Canis lupus familiaris: one gene and its partners. The protein of the gene in region 1 binds, or shares a complex with, the protein of each later gene. Links are inferred from orthologs where the notes say so. Each region holds a gene or a part of one and is shown in the gene's direction. Other genes may lie near its edges. The genes, in order: DDX5, HNRNPH2 and PA2G4.

Evidence for each region.
Region 2: DDX5 (region 1) and HNRNPH2 share a complex: the UniProt entries of both Homo sapiens proteins name them as parts of the ribonucleoprotein complex. The link is inferred for Canis lupus familiaris from reciprocal best matches to the Homo sapiens genes DDX5 and HNRNPH2.
Region 3: DDX5 (region 1) and PA2G4 share a complex: the UniProt entries of both Homo sapiens proteins name them as parts of the ribonucleoprotein complex. The link is inferred for Canis lupus familiaris from reciprocal best matches to the Homo sapiens genes DDX5 and PA2G4.

What each region holds. Positions count from the first base shown.
Region 1 is NC_049230.1:14,615,814-14,620,552, forward strand, and holds the start of DDX5 (probable ATP-dependent RNA helicase DDX5), read left to right. Parts: upstream 1-1,634; 5' UTR 1,635-1,662; exon of another isoform or gene 1,663-2,106; intron 2,107-2,286; 5' UTR 2,287-2,421; coding exon 2,422-2,465; intron 2,466-3,683; coding exon 3,684-3,849; intron 3,850-4,181; coding exon 4,182-4,278; intron 4,279-4,376; coding exon 4,377-4,510; intron 4,511-4,631; coding exon 4,632-4,697; intron 4,698-4,739. Other genes in the region: CEP95 (centrosomal protein of 95 kDa), read right to left, coding at 1,377-1,395. UniProt on the Homo sapiens protein: Involved in the alternative regulation of pre-mRNA splicing; its RNA helicase activity is necessary for increasing tau exon 10 inclusion and occurs in a RBM4-dependent manner. Binds to the tau pre-mRNA in the stem-loop region downstream of exon 10.
Region 2 is NC_049260.1:75,730,356-75,734,720, forward strand, and holds the end of HNRNPH2 (heterogeneous nuclear ribonucleoprotein H2), read left to right. Parts: intron 1-217; exon of another isoform or gene 218-436; intron 437-1,247; 5' UTR 1,248-1,300; coding exon 1,301-2,650; 3' UTR 2,651-3,476; downstream 3,477-4,365. UniProt on the Homo sapiens protein: This protein is a component of the heterogeneous nuclear ribonucleoprotein (hnRNP) complexes which provide the substrate for the processing events that pre-mRNAs undergo before becoming functional, translatable mRNAs in the cytoplasm. Binds poly(RG).
Region 3 is NC_049231.1:780,196-784,404, forward strand, and holds part of PA2G4 (proliferation-associated protein 2G4), read left to right. Parts: exon of another isoform or gene 1-37; coding exon 38-107; exon of another isoform or gene 108-215; intron 216-353; coding exon 354-446; intron 447-3,014; coding exon 3,015-3,078; intron 3,079-3,306; coding exon 3,307-3,385; intron 3,386-3,535; coding exon 3,536-3,614; intron 3,615-3,709; coding exon 3,710-3,843; intron 3,844-4,144; coding exon 4,145-4,209. UniProt on the Homo sapiens protein: May play a role in a ERBB3-regulated signal transduction pathway. Seems be involved in growth regulation. Acts a corepressor of the androgen receptor (AR) and is regulated by the ERBB3 ligand neuregulin-1/heregulin (HRG).

The sequences.
Region 1 (4,739 bases):
TGTTATTTTACCTTTTCTTATTTTACAAGCCATACATAGCTGTTTTTTAACATACTTAAAAGTAAACAGGAATAGATGTCATAAACGAGACAGTTTGTTAACGATTGTCTGAGATTAGCAGAAACTAATTAATGGATGCTGCTTCAAATTCCCAATAGCATTAGTCATGTTTCTACCCAATTATTTTGTGCAAGTCAGAATTTCTCTGGTGCCCCAAAAGGTGGTGATTAATTCAGGCTGTTAAAAAACTGAAGTAATGACCCCAACACTGCAACATTTGTTTTAGTTCTTTAAAAAAATTACATTTAATGGAGGCGCCTGGGTGGCTCGATCGGTTTAAGCCTTTGCCTTCAGCTCAGGTCATGATCCCCGCAGGATGGAGCCCCCAAGTCTGGCTCCCTGCTCACCGGGGAGTCTGCTTTTCCCCTTGCTCATGCTCTCACTCAAATAAATAAATAAAATCTTATAAAAAAAATAAAGTCAATGAATAAGAAGTAAAATACAGGCAATACACAAAGACATCCCTAAATTCAGAACTAGCACATTACCAACACTGTTGGAAGTTTCCTGTGTGCCACCGCACCCCACCCCCAGATACGGTCGGAATTAGCAAGATTATTTCACGACTTTCTCCAACAAAGGTAATTTCTAAAGCCTGACCTATTTGCTCCCTGATACAATTTAAGGTGGTTAAGAAGTCCTTCTACTTCGTATTTGACGAACTGAGCGCGTTCAAGGCACGTTATCTCCCTGTCCCCGTGCCCACTTCTCACAGCTGACCAAACCACGAGCTGGTTTGAACGCTGTCCTGAGGAAAGGATGAAAAGAAAAGCGTCCCGGACAACCCAACCCACTCGGTTTTCAAAAGCGGTTGCTAGACAATGCAGGTAACTCCAGAGGGCACTGAAGAGAAAAATCCGCCACTATCCTACTGTGGCAGGAGCATCAGCAGATCTTTAGAGTGCCGTTCCCCTCAAAACTTCAATGCACATGGAGGTAACGGCCTCAGTCCCCACAATCCAAGAGGCAGAGAGCGCGCTGACAGTGGCTGGATGCCCCAGAGAAACACGAGTCCCGGGAAGCAGCTTTCCGACTGCCCTTTTTGCAGCCAGGTTGCGGGCGTGCTGCGGGCCTCGCCACGGGGTTCTTCTCTCCACACCCCAAGATCTCGCTAGATGGCCTCTAGGAGGGGGACCCAGAGCGGGGCCAAGAAACCCACGGAACCGCCGACTGCGACTGGGTGTCTGTCACCAGCCCCGCCGGCAGCCCAGACCCAGGGAGTCCAGCCGGAGGATTCGAGATAAAAGGCCTAGGAGCGTCCGGCGGACTTAAAGGGTTTCAGTCCACACACACCCGGGCTCCGGGCCGAGACTCACCAGCCTCTGAGCCGGCCATGTCACGGAGGCAGGTCGCTGCCGGACTTCCAGCTGGGCGCGAGGCGGACGGCGTCCGGGAAGGGCCGCACAGCGCAGACGCAACGCCGAGGTGGGGGGAGAACGAAACGAAAGGGCAGGGGGTGAAAGAGGGAGGGACGTTAAAACGGCTTCTTGCTGCTGATTGGTCATCACGGGAGGACTTCCTTTCGCAGCACGCGCCCAGGCGGCGGTTTGTGGGCTCTAGGTACCATTCTCCGCGGGCAAGATCCCGCTGAGGGATTCTCAGGTGGGTGGATTTGACAGGCCGGGTCACCCAGCGGCCCTGGCCGGCCTCCCGGGGGCAATAGTACGGCACTTCCGGCGAGCTATTTCGTTTCGTATTCCTCCGCCGACGCCAAGTGGAGAAGTAGTGCGGTCCGCTTACCCGATGGGCGGGAGCAGTCACGTGACAATGTCAGGCTCCGCCTTCCCGTCTCACTTGGTTAGGGGCGTGAAGGCTCTTCGGAGACGTAAACATCTCCAAGTGGGCTGAGTGGGTTGGTCTGTGCTGGCCATTTTGTCGGCAGGGCTAGACCTGGGAAAGGGCGGGGTGGCTTCCTTGAGGTGTGGAAAGACGAGAAAAAGGTGAAGAACACAGAGTAGGCTAAGGCGTCTCAGTGCGGGTGGGCCCAGCCGTGAAAGGGGCCCCAAGCCGGCGACTCTGAGGGAAGCGGAGGGTGGGGGTGGGGCGAGAACATGGCGGATCCCGGAACGCCGGCGGGCGTTGCGGCCTCTGCGCAGGGGCGGGGTGATTAGGTCATAGAGCGGCTCCCAGCATTCTCCGCGGCGGAGGAGGCGGTCCAGGCTATAAAACCGGCTGCCGGGACGCGGCCGGCACCTCATTCATTTCCACCGGTCTCTTGTCGAGCAGCTCCGGCCCCTGTCATCGCCGCCCCGCTGCCGCTGCCGCCCCCGCAAGGCTTTGCCATCGCCAAAGCCACCTGCAGCGACTCGTCGCACCCGATTCTCTTTACTTCGTTCCCCGCCAACCGCAACCATTGACGCCATGTCGGGTTATTCGAGTGACCGAGACCGCGGCCGGGATCGAGGGTGAGTGTGGGAACGGACTTGTCAGGCCCGGCAGTGGGGGATGGGAGGCCGATGAAGGAGGCGGCGGGCGGGGGCGATGGACAGTCGGCTTTTTCCGGCTATATTTAACCTTTACGAATCGAAGGCTTGCGCCATTTTGATATTTGTCCGGAACTGACAGAGGGATGTTTCCCTGTTAACGGTCCTCAAGCTCGCCTTTTGTTGGTGGGGGGATGGGGGAGGCGCCGAAGCCCCCGCCCCCGCCGACTGAGCAGCTGTTGGGGACAATTCGGGGGAGTGTATTTCAATGGTTGGAAAGCGCGACGCTTTCAGGAGAACGAAGTCACCGCTGTTCGGTGCATCTTTTCGGGAAGTGTTGTAGGGGCCCCGGGAGTTCTGTGGTAATCGAAGGGGTCGCCTCACGAGCCATTGATGGCGCGGGAGCAGGAGGGCGGCCGGCACCGCGGGAATCGGCCATGTGGCTGAGCCGCGGGTACAAAATGCCGGCGCCGGACATGGCGGCGGCGCCTTTGTTACCCCGCCCGGCGGAGGAGCTCAAAATGGCAGCGTCGAGAAAATGTGGCGCAGAGAGAAATGCGAGACAAAGGGGGAAGCGCCGCCCCAGCGGGAACGCCGCCCGGTCCGGGACTCCTCCCCCGGTAGTTGCCAGCTCCTCCTCCTCTTTTTCTTTGCGTTATATAATTTTGCTATCTTGATGAGGAGCCCTCCGGGGGGATCCCCCCAATTCGATGGGCTTGCATAAATGTCTCTGAGACCACCGTCCTTGTTCTGTTCTCGTTGGTGCTGTCCCATTATTCCTTAGAACCAAAGCTGCTTGGCTTGGAAAGAGCTGATAATAACATTGCTGTTACGCACCTCCCTTGTATTGTCTCTCCCCCAGACATTTAATGCCTAAGCTCACGGGAAAGACTAGGAGCCACAAGCTGTTGTCTATCCTTGTAATCTGAACATGGGGCGTTTGGGCAGCCAATTTCCGACCTGATAAATCCCGGGCTGTTGATTTGGCTTCAATAGTGTGTATTTGGGACAACGGAAAGTGAGAGAGATGGTGCTAATTGTGGCTTTTGAGAGCATGACCCATCACTAAGGACAGTGCTAAGTCTTAAACCTCGAAAAGTCTTTCATTTATCTGTACTGTGTGTCAAGGGACAATAAATAGTCTGTATGTAAACGTCTTAGTAGGTAGTTGAAAATATAACTTTTTTGTTTTAATTTCAGGTTTGGTGCACCTCGATTTGGGGGAAGTAGGGCAGGGCCCCTATCTGGAAAGAAGTTTGGAAACCCTGGGGAGAAATTAGTCAAAAAGAAGTGGAATCTTGATGAGCTGCCCAAATTTGAGAAGAATTTTTATCAAGAACACCCTGATTTGGCTAGGCGCACAGCAGTGAGTAATTTCACAGGGCTTCCTTGGGCTGTAACTCAACAGTGACTTTTAGTAAACAGAAATTTGAACAGAGGCCTTGGAAAACTCATATTTTCTGATAGTCGAGGAAGAGGAGGTGCTTTGGCAAGTGGTATCTTTGAATTTTTCTGTTTAGAGTGGTTAAATATAACTACAATAGATGGATCTTGTGCTCTGTAGGTTTTCTATATGTGGATATAGATTTTAAATGGCCCGTTACAGTTTGCTAATCCTTGATAAACTTAAGGCCTGCTGACTGCATATTGGTGAAGGTTGTTATGGTACTTAGTAGGTTATTAAAATTTGTTTTATAGCAAGAGGTGGAGACATACAGAAGGAGTAAGGAAATTACGGTTAGAGGTCACAACTGCCCAAAGCCAGTTCTGAATTTTTATGAAGCAAACTTCCCTGGTAAGTGCTAGTTCAGAGCACTCACTCCCCCCCCTTTATTAATTTCACCCTTTTTCTTAGCTTCACTAAATTTACTGAATTACTGTTGCTAATTACAGCAAATGTAATGGATGTGATTGCAAGACAGAATTTTACTGAACCCACTGCAATTCAAGCTCAGGGATGGCCCGTTGCTCTAAGTGGTTTGGATATGGTTGGAGTAGCACAGACTGGATCCGGGAAAACATTGTCTGTAAGTGTGGAAGAATTTTTGAGTTTTAATATGTGATTATGTTAGAGAAAATGGATTAGTGATATAAGGAAATTAGAAGCTTTTTAATTTAACTTTTGTTTTGTTCCCCCACCCCAAATAGTATTTGCTGCCTGCTATCGTCCATATCAATCATCAGCCATTCCTAGAGAGAGGTGATGGGCCTATTGTAAGTATATATGTGTGTATTTTTTCTTAATTTTTGTGTGAG
Region 2 (4,365 bases), on another chromosome or scaffold:
GACCTGAGCCGAAGGCAGCTGCTTAACCAACTGAGCCACCCAGGGGCTATCCTTTCTTTTTTAAAACTGTTGCCTTAGGTGAAATCCTTATTGCCAAAAAGAGGTTGGGGTTATAACTGATCCTGCTTGTGTCACACCAGCCCCCTCTGTTTGAGTTCCACACTGTTGCCAGGGTGATCTATTATTTGAAAAGGCTCTGGTTACCTCACTTTCCTCCCCTCACTCCCTTACCCACTCCCTTACCCATTCCCTTACCCTCACTCCCCTACCCCACTCCTCTGTTTTAAAACCCTTAGAAGACTCTTAACGTTTGTCTATCAAGTAAGGCCTTTGGGATCTTACTCTCTACCTTGCCAGCCTTAACTTCTTGCCTGGGCTCATCCTATTTTATGCTCCATTGTAATTTTTAAAAATTTATTTGTGGATCCTTGAACTGGTGAGTCTGTTTAAACAATTCTGTGCCAACTGTTAGAATTGACCAACTAGTCCCTGTTTTATACCACCTTTTCACGCTATACAGAATTTTGTCATAGCAGGAATAATGTTTATTTGCCCTTTTGCCTTTAGTAAAGATGTATAATGCCCCTGTAGGACTATAAACCCTTTCTTGGTTTATTGATCCTTGTATCCCAAAGCCAAGTACTGGACTTGCCAGTTGAAAAATATAAAATGAATGTATGATCACCCTTAATGTCTTTTTCCCATTTATTGCTTAGGCCTTAATATTTCCTTGATTTTATTAATTGGCATGAGTTCATTATATAAGGATATTAATGTACTGTTGTGTCTTCTCAAGTGTATTGTCTTTTAATTCTGTTTAATCTTACCTTTGATGTAATGAAGTTTTTCATTTTTATGTAATCAGGTATAGCTATCTCGTATTTGTTCACAGCTTCCAGTGATTTTGCTGCTGATTTTTTATGCCTTTTGTGTTCTATGATGTTAATATATGTTCAATATAGAAAACCTAAAACATAGAAATGTCCAAAGAAAATACTCCTTTAATAAAAAAGTTCCCATAAGCCTACTGCCCAGAAATAACCACTATTAACGGTATTCAACACATAATAGGTATTGAGTAAATAATCTTTGGATGAATGAATTAAAAATTTGGTGCAGTCTTTTTATTTATATGAATATTTTAGAACAAAGCTATCCGTTTGAGTTTTATATTATTGGTTTGCTTTTTTCTCTTACTATGTTGTGAACATTTTTCCATGACAATAGTCTTCTAATTTTTTTTTTAGCTACACTGAAACTGCATTGAGCCAAGCTTGCCACCAAGAGCCCAACAATCATCATGATGCTGAGCACGGAAGGCAGGGAGGGGTTCGTGGTGAAGGTCAGGGGCCTACCCTGGTCCTGCTCAGCTGATGAAGTGATGCGCTTCTTCTCTGATTGCAAGATCCAAAACGGCACATCAGGTATTCGTTTCATCTATACCAGAGAAGGCAGACCAAGTGGTGAAGCGTTTGTCGAACTTGAATCCGAAGATGAAGTGAAATTGGCATTGAAGAAGGACAGAGAAACCATGGGACACAGATACGTTGAAGTGTTCAAGTCCAACAGTGTTGAAATGGATTGGGTGTTGAAGCATACAGGTCCGAATAGTCCTGATACTGCCAACGATGGCTTCGTCCGGCTTAGAGGACTCCCATTTGGCTGTAGCAAGGAAGAGATTGTTCAGTTCTTTTCAGGGTTGGAAATTGTGCCAAATGGGATGACACTGCCGGTGGACTTTCAGGGGCGGAGCACGGGGGAGGCCTTTGTGCAGTTTGCTTCGCAGGAGATAGCTGAAAAGGCCTTAAAGAAACACAAGGAAAGAATAGGGCATAGGTACATTGAAATCTTCAAGAGTAGCCGAGCTGAAGTCCGAACCCACTACGACCCCCCGCGAAAGCTCATGGCTATGCAGCGGCCAGGTCCTTATGATAGGCCAGGGGCTGGCAGAGGGTATAATAGTATTGGCAGAGGGACTGGGTTTGAAAGGATGAGGCGTGGTGCCTATGGTGGAGGGTATGGAGGCTATGATGACTATGGTGGCTATAATGATGGCTATGGCTTTGGGTCTGATAGATTTGGAAGAGACCTCAATTACTGTTTTTCAGGGATGTCTGACCATAGATATGGAGATGGTGGGTCCAGTTTCCAGAGCACCACAGGGCACTGTGTACACATGAGGGGATTACCTTACAGAGCCACTGAGAATGATATTTACAATTTTTTCTCACCTCTTAACCCCATGAGAGTGCACATTGAAATTGGACCCGATGGCCGAGTTACTGGTGAGGCAGATGTTGAATTTGCTACCCATGAAGATGCTGTGGCAGCTATGGCAAAAGACAAAGCTAATATGCAACACAGATACGTGGAGCTCTTCTTGAATTCTACTGCAGGAACAAGTGGGGGTGCTTATGATCACAGCTATGTAGAACTCTTTTTGAATTCTACAGCAGGGGCAAGTGGTGGTGCATATGGTAGTCAAATGATGGGAGGAATGGGCTTATCCAACCAATCTAGTTATGGGGGCCCTGCCAGCCAGCAGCTAAGCGGGGGTTATGGAGGTGGGTACGGTGGTCAGAGCAGTATGAGTGGATATGACCAAGTGCTGCAGGAAAACTCCAGTGACTATCAGTCAAACCTCGCTTAAGTAAACAATACTAAACAGCTATTACAAAAATAAAATCTCTGCATTTATGGGAGTTGTAGAATGGGAGGGATGTCTAGTATATCCAGTATGATTGGTAAATGGGAAATACTGATTCTGATCACTCTTGGTCAGCTTCCTCTTTCTTTCTTTCTTTCTTTCTTTCTTTCGTTCTTTCGTTCTTTCGTTCTTTCATTCTTTCCTTTTTTTTTTTAAGAAAACAAAAGTTAAGTTTAACAGTTTTGCATTACAGGCTTGTGATTCATGCTTACTGTAAAGTGGAAGTCAAGGTTTTACAACTTTAAGCTCAGTAATTTTGAACACTGAAACATTCATCTAGGGTGTAATAACAACGTTCAGTATTGACCATAACTGTTAAAACAATTTTCAGCTTTCCTCAAGTTAGTTACATTGTAGGAGTATACCTAAGCAGTAAGCATTATTTAGGTTAAAGCAGTTTCACTTATGTTAAATGTTGCTCTTATACCACAATACCTTGAAAACTTTGGATGCATGTTGAGAAACATGCTTTTCTGTAAAACTCAAATATAGGAGCTGTGTCTACGATTCAAAGTGAAAACATTTGGCATGTTTGTTAATTCTAGCTTTTTGGTTTAATATCCTGTAAGGCACGTGAGTGTACACTTTTACTTTTTTAAAGATCTGGGACAATTTTGAGATGTAATACCAATACTTTAGGAGTTTGGTCATGTTGTTTGTATGAGATTCTGAGACTTTGATTTAAACCTTTCCTTGTATTGTGATTTCCATTAGATGTATTGTACTAAGTGAAACTTGTTAAATAAATCTTCCTTTTAAAAATGAAAAATCTTGTGCAGCTTGATTTCTTTTAAAAATTTTATTTATTTGAGAGAGAGAGAGGCAGAGAGATCAAAGAAGGAAAAGCAGATTTGCCGCTGAGCCGAGAGCTGGATGCAGGGCTCAATCCCGGGCCACTGAGATCATGACCTAAGCTGAAGGCAGACATTTAACTGAGCTACCCAGGCGCCCCAACAGCTTAATTTTTTAAAAATGTTCCATCATATGAACCATTTCTTTGATACAAGTCCTCTGCACTTGAAACTTATTTTTTTAAGATTTTTATTTATTTATTTGATAGAACAAGCAGGGTGGAATGGCAGGCAAAGGGAGAGGGAGAAGCAAGACTCCACACTGAGGAGGGTCCCGGACATGGGGCTTGATCCCAGGACCTTGAGGTCATGACCTGAGCCAAAAGCAGATACTTAACCCACTGAGCCACCCAGTGCCCCTGCCACTGAAATTTAAATTTAATTTTTATAAACACACATTAGTACCATCATACATAAATTGTTCACTGTATCATTATTTTTAAGATCTATGCCTAAAAGTGGGATTGTTGAGTCAAGTGTACCCACATTTTTAAGGCTTTTGATTTGCATTGTCACATTATGGTACTCTTTGCACTGCCCCCCTCCACCATGATGCATATTATTCTTGATCTTGGCTAATTTATTAGTTGAAAAATGGTATCCCGTTGCTATTTTAATTTGTTTAATGAGGTAGAGTATTATTCTGTTTCTAAACTCTCCATGTCCACAGGACTATTGGGCTTCTCTGGAAACTATACTTTATCAAGACAGCATTCTCCAAAAGCCAGAAAGTAAAAACAAATCCCCTTCCTTTCATTGAATCATATATGGAAGATCTAAGGCACCTTTATATGTTCTAAAAAAGAA
Region 3 (4,209 bases), on another chromosome or scaffold:
GTTGCTAATGCTGTGCTCTGCTCTTCTTGCCTTTTAGTGACCTTGGGGTCCATGTGGATGGCTTCATCGCTAATGTGGCTCACACTTTTGTGGTTGATGTAGCTCAGGTAGGTGGCCTCCTTTGAATTCTGTTCTACCTATGGGGAGTGGGGGAGGATATGCTGCTGCTTGCTTTTTATTCCCACTCTCTACCGCCAAATGTTTTGAGAGATTCCCTAGAGAAATAAAAAGAGAAAAGTGTTTTCTCTCCTGTTCATTGGCTGGCCTTGCATAGTGACCATTTGAGTAAAGCACTTTCCAGGAAGGTACTGATTGCATCCAGGAAGGTACTGATTGCATTTCCTTATCTACAGGGGACCCAAGTAACAGGGCGGAAAGCAGATGTCATTAAGGCAGCTCACCTTTGTGCTGAAGCTGCTCTACGCCTGGTCAAACCTGGAAACCAGGTAAGTAAGCTGTTGAGTCCAGTTCCAAAGATGATAGAGCCAAAGTTGATTAGTCACATATAATTATTCTCTCTCTCTTTTTTTAAGATTTTATTTATTCATTCATGAGAGATACATATTTAGAGAGAGGCAAAGACATAGGCAGATGGAGAAGCAGGCTCCCTGTGGGGAGCCCAATGTGGGACGTGGGACTCAATCCCAGATCCCAGGATCACGCTCTGGGCCAAAGGCAGACGCCCAACCCCTGAGCCACCCAGGCATCCCACATATAACTATTCTCTATTGAATTCCCAGCTTCTGCAGCCCCCTTATAAAACAGTTTTTCTTTGTTTTGTTTTTTTAAGTAAGCTCTATACCCAAGGTGGGGCTTGAACTCATGACCCTGAGACCAAGAGTCACATGCTCTACTGAGTGAGCCAGTCAGGTGCCCCTAATACAAACAGCTCTTTAAAATTAGAATTGGATTTCTGGGGTACCTGGGTGGCTCAGTGACTGAACGTCTGCCTTTGATTCAGGTGATGATCCCAGAGTCCTGGGATCAAGTTCCCGCATCAGGCTCCCTGCAGGGAGCTTGCTTCTCCCTCTGCCTATGCATCTGCCTCTCTATCTCTCTCTCTCTCATGAATGAATGAATAAAATCTTTAAAAAAAAAACAAAATTAGAAACAGATTTCTGAAATAGAAGAGGCAGTTAACTAAGCACTGTTTAACTCTGAGTGCCTATCATAGGTAAGGTCCATGCTAGGTATATGGGGATGTATGATCCATTCTTCATGGAGCCTAGAGATCTTTCCTTTTTCATGTTTTGGTTGTGCATCTTTTCCTAAAATAATTTGAGGTATATCACTTGGAGTAAAATACATGTTGAAAAAAGATGAAAGGGCAGCCGTGGTGGCTTGGCGGTTGGTTCATCGCCACCTCCGGCCCAGGGCGTGTTCCTGGAGACCCGGGATCAAGTCCTGCATCTGGCTTCCTGCATGGAGCCTGCTTCTCCCTCTGCCTGTGTCTCTGCCTCTGTGTGTCTTTCGTGAATAAATGAATAAAATAAAATAAAATAAAACCTTTTTCTTTTTAACTTAATTACTTGAGTAACCTCTGCACCCAATGTGGGGCTCAAAATCCCATCCCCAGGATCAAGAATTGCCCTTCCAACCGAGCCAGGCAGGTACTCCCAAAACCCAACTTTAAAAGCTAATGAAACAAATCATAATAGTACCAGTAAACTGGTAGCAGAGAGAGGCCAAAAGTGAGTTCTTTGCCTTGCAAGACAATATCAGGAAGCCTAGGGATCATGAACTGTTATGGATTAATACACTTTAACATGTTAGATTATGAGTGGAGACATTTTTTCTAACACTTCAGTCTCCAGGGTCCTATTCGATACTTAAAGCTTGCCTTTTTTGTTCCCCTGTGCTCTTGTTTTTTATGCTTTTAATCAGTTTGTACCTCATCTCCATTGTTATTCATATCATTTTTACTTATACCTCTGTCTTGGTTTCCTTATGATACTACTTCCTACCACTGTTATGAAGCTCTTTGAACAGTGCCTGGCCCATAGTAAGCGCTTGTGCACATTAATTATTTTTATTCTTTTTTTTTTTTTAATATTTTTTTTAATTTTTTAATTTATTTATGATAGTCACAGAGAGAGAGAGAGAGGCAGAGACATAGGCAGAGGGAGAAGCAGGCTCCATGCACCGGGAGCCTGATGTGGGATTCGATCCTGGGTCTCCAGGATCGCGCCCTGGGCCAAAGGCAGGCGCCAAACCGCTGCGCCACCCAGGGATCCCCTATTTTTATTCTTTATATACTAACTATTGCATATCTCCACTGGAACGTATAATTGTATAGTGGCTATTGTAAATTATGACATACATCAGAATTTCTGGGTTCTTGCCCTGTTGCCACCCCTTACTGTTTAAAAGTAACTTGGAATTCAGATTTCCTCATCTGCAAAATAGGAAAAATAAAATTGCCCCTTATTGTCATAGGGTTGTTACGACAATTGAGATGATCCATGTGAAGTACCTAACACAAAATTTAGTATTATTAGTTATGATTATGTATTTTTCATTTTGTTTAATGACAAAGGAAATAGTTTAGGTGGAGATCAGATGTTTGAAAGAGTTAAAAGGGAAAATCAGAACTTGTCCTCTCTCAACAGATATCATGAGATAAACACGGGATTTATCACCAGAAAACCTGGGTTTATTCCCATTTCTTTCGGTTAACTGGCTTAACCCTATGCAAATCTTTTTTAACCTTTCCAAGCCTCAGTTTATACATCTTCTAAATTGGGATATGGAATATAGCTCTGCCCCATTCATCTTTCAGAATTATTGTCTACTTGGACCATCTTGGTGAAAGCATTTATAAAATGATAAGCTAATATAAGGTGTTTTTAGGTTGTAGGGATAATAGGGCTATGAAATGAAAAGCCACTGAGAATCATTGCTTTTTGATGGAGGATATGGAGACTCAGTTCTTTTTTATCCCTTTCATTCTCATGTTAGAGAACTTGTTGACCTCTGGTATATATCTCACCTGTTACTTGATTTTGTACTTCTAGAACACACAAGTGACAGAAGCCTGGAACAAAGTTGCCCACTCGTTTAATTGCACACCAATAGAAGGTGAGACCTCAGATAACAGGGTTGAGGGTCTGAGTGAGTGCTTTAGTAGAATGAAGAATTTTGCTCCTTTTAGGATCTATCCTGGCTCTAGCACAGTCTAAGCCAAAACCCATACTACCCTGAGTTTTCATAGCCAGGCACTTTTCCTTTATTGCATGCCCTGTCACAGTGTCGATGGGTGGATTTGGAAACCCTCTGGGATTCTAAATGGCTTTGTCGTGTCTACAGGTATGTTGTCACATCAATTGAAGCAGCATGTCATCGATGGAGAGAAAACCATTATCCAGAATCCCACAGACCAGCAGAAGTAGGTGCCAATTCCACCCTTTACTTTCTACCATCTGAGACTAGTCATGAATGTTTTCTTCCATACACCCAGCCTAATTGTGTCTGCCTTTCTATTTCATACTCCAGGGACTAATCATTTTTTTTATGGTTCGCTTTTTATTCCTTTTAGGAAGGACCATGAAAAAGCTGAATTTGAGGTACATGAAGTATATGCTGTGGATGTTCTTGTCAGCTCAGGAGAGGGCAAGGTGAGGAGAGTTTACCAGAGCTACCAAAGAGGGGTAGTTGAAGGTATGTTCTAAGAGCACCAGACCAACTGTGACCTAACGCATTACTCTTTTAGGCCAAGGATGCAGGACAGAGAACCACCATTTACAAACGAGACCCTTCTAAACAGTATGGCCTAAAAATGAAAACTTCACGTGCCTTCTTCAGTGAGGTGGAGAGGCGTTTTGATGCCATGCCATTTACTTTAAGGTACTATGACTGCACTTAACAAGAACAGGACTCAGAACCAGCCTGACTCATAGACCACACACCCAGGAACACTGTTACCTCTCCCAGTGCACCCCCTCCCACCCTGCCCCTGCCTAGACTTGTAGCTCCAGCCTGCATGCATGCCTTCTCTCCCTCTCCCCATTGCCCTCTCATCGAAGATAATGTGCAAGAGCAATCCTAAGCATGATTTCTGCCTGAGGGTAGGAGCTATTTAAAAACAGGAAAATGGTAAGACTTGATAGGGGGTTAAGGATACCTGAATCTGTCTTCCCTCACCCAGAGCATTTGAGGATGAGAAGAAGGCCCGGATGGGTGTGGTGGAGTGCGCCAAACATGAACTGCTAC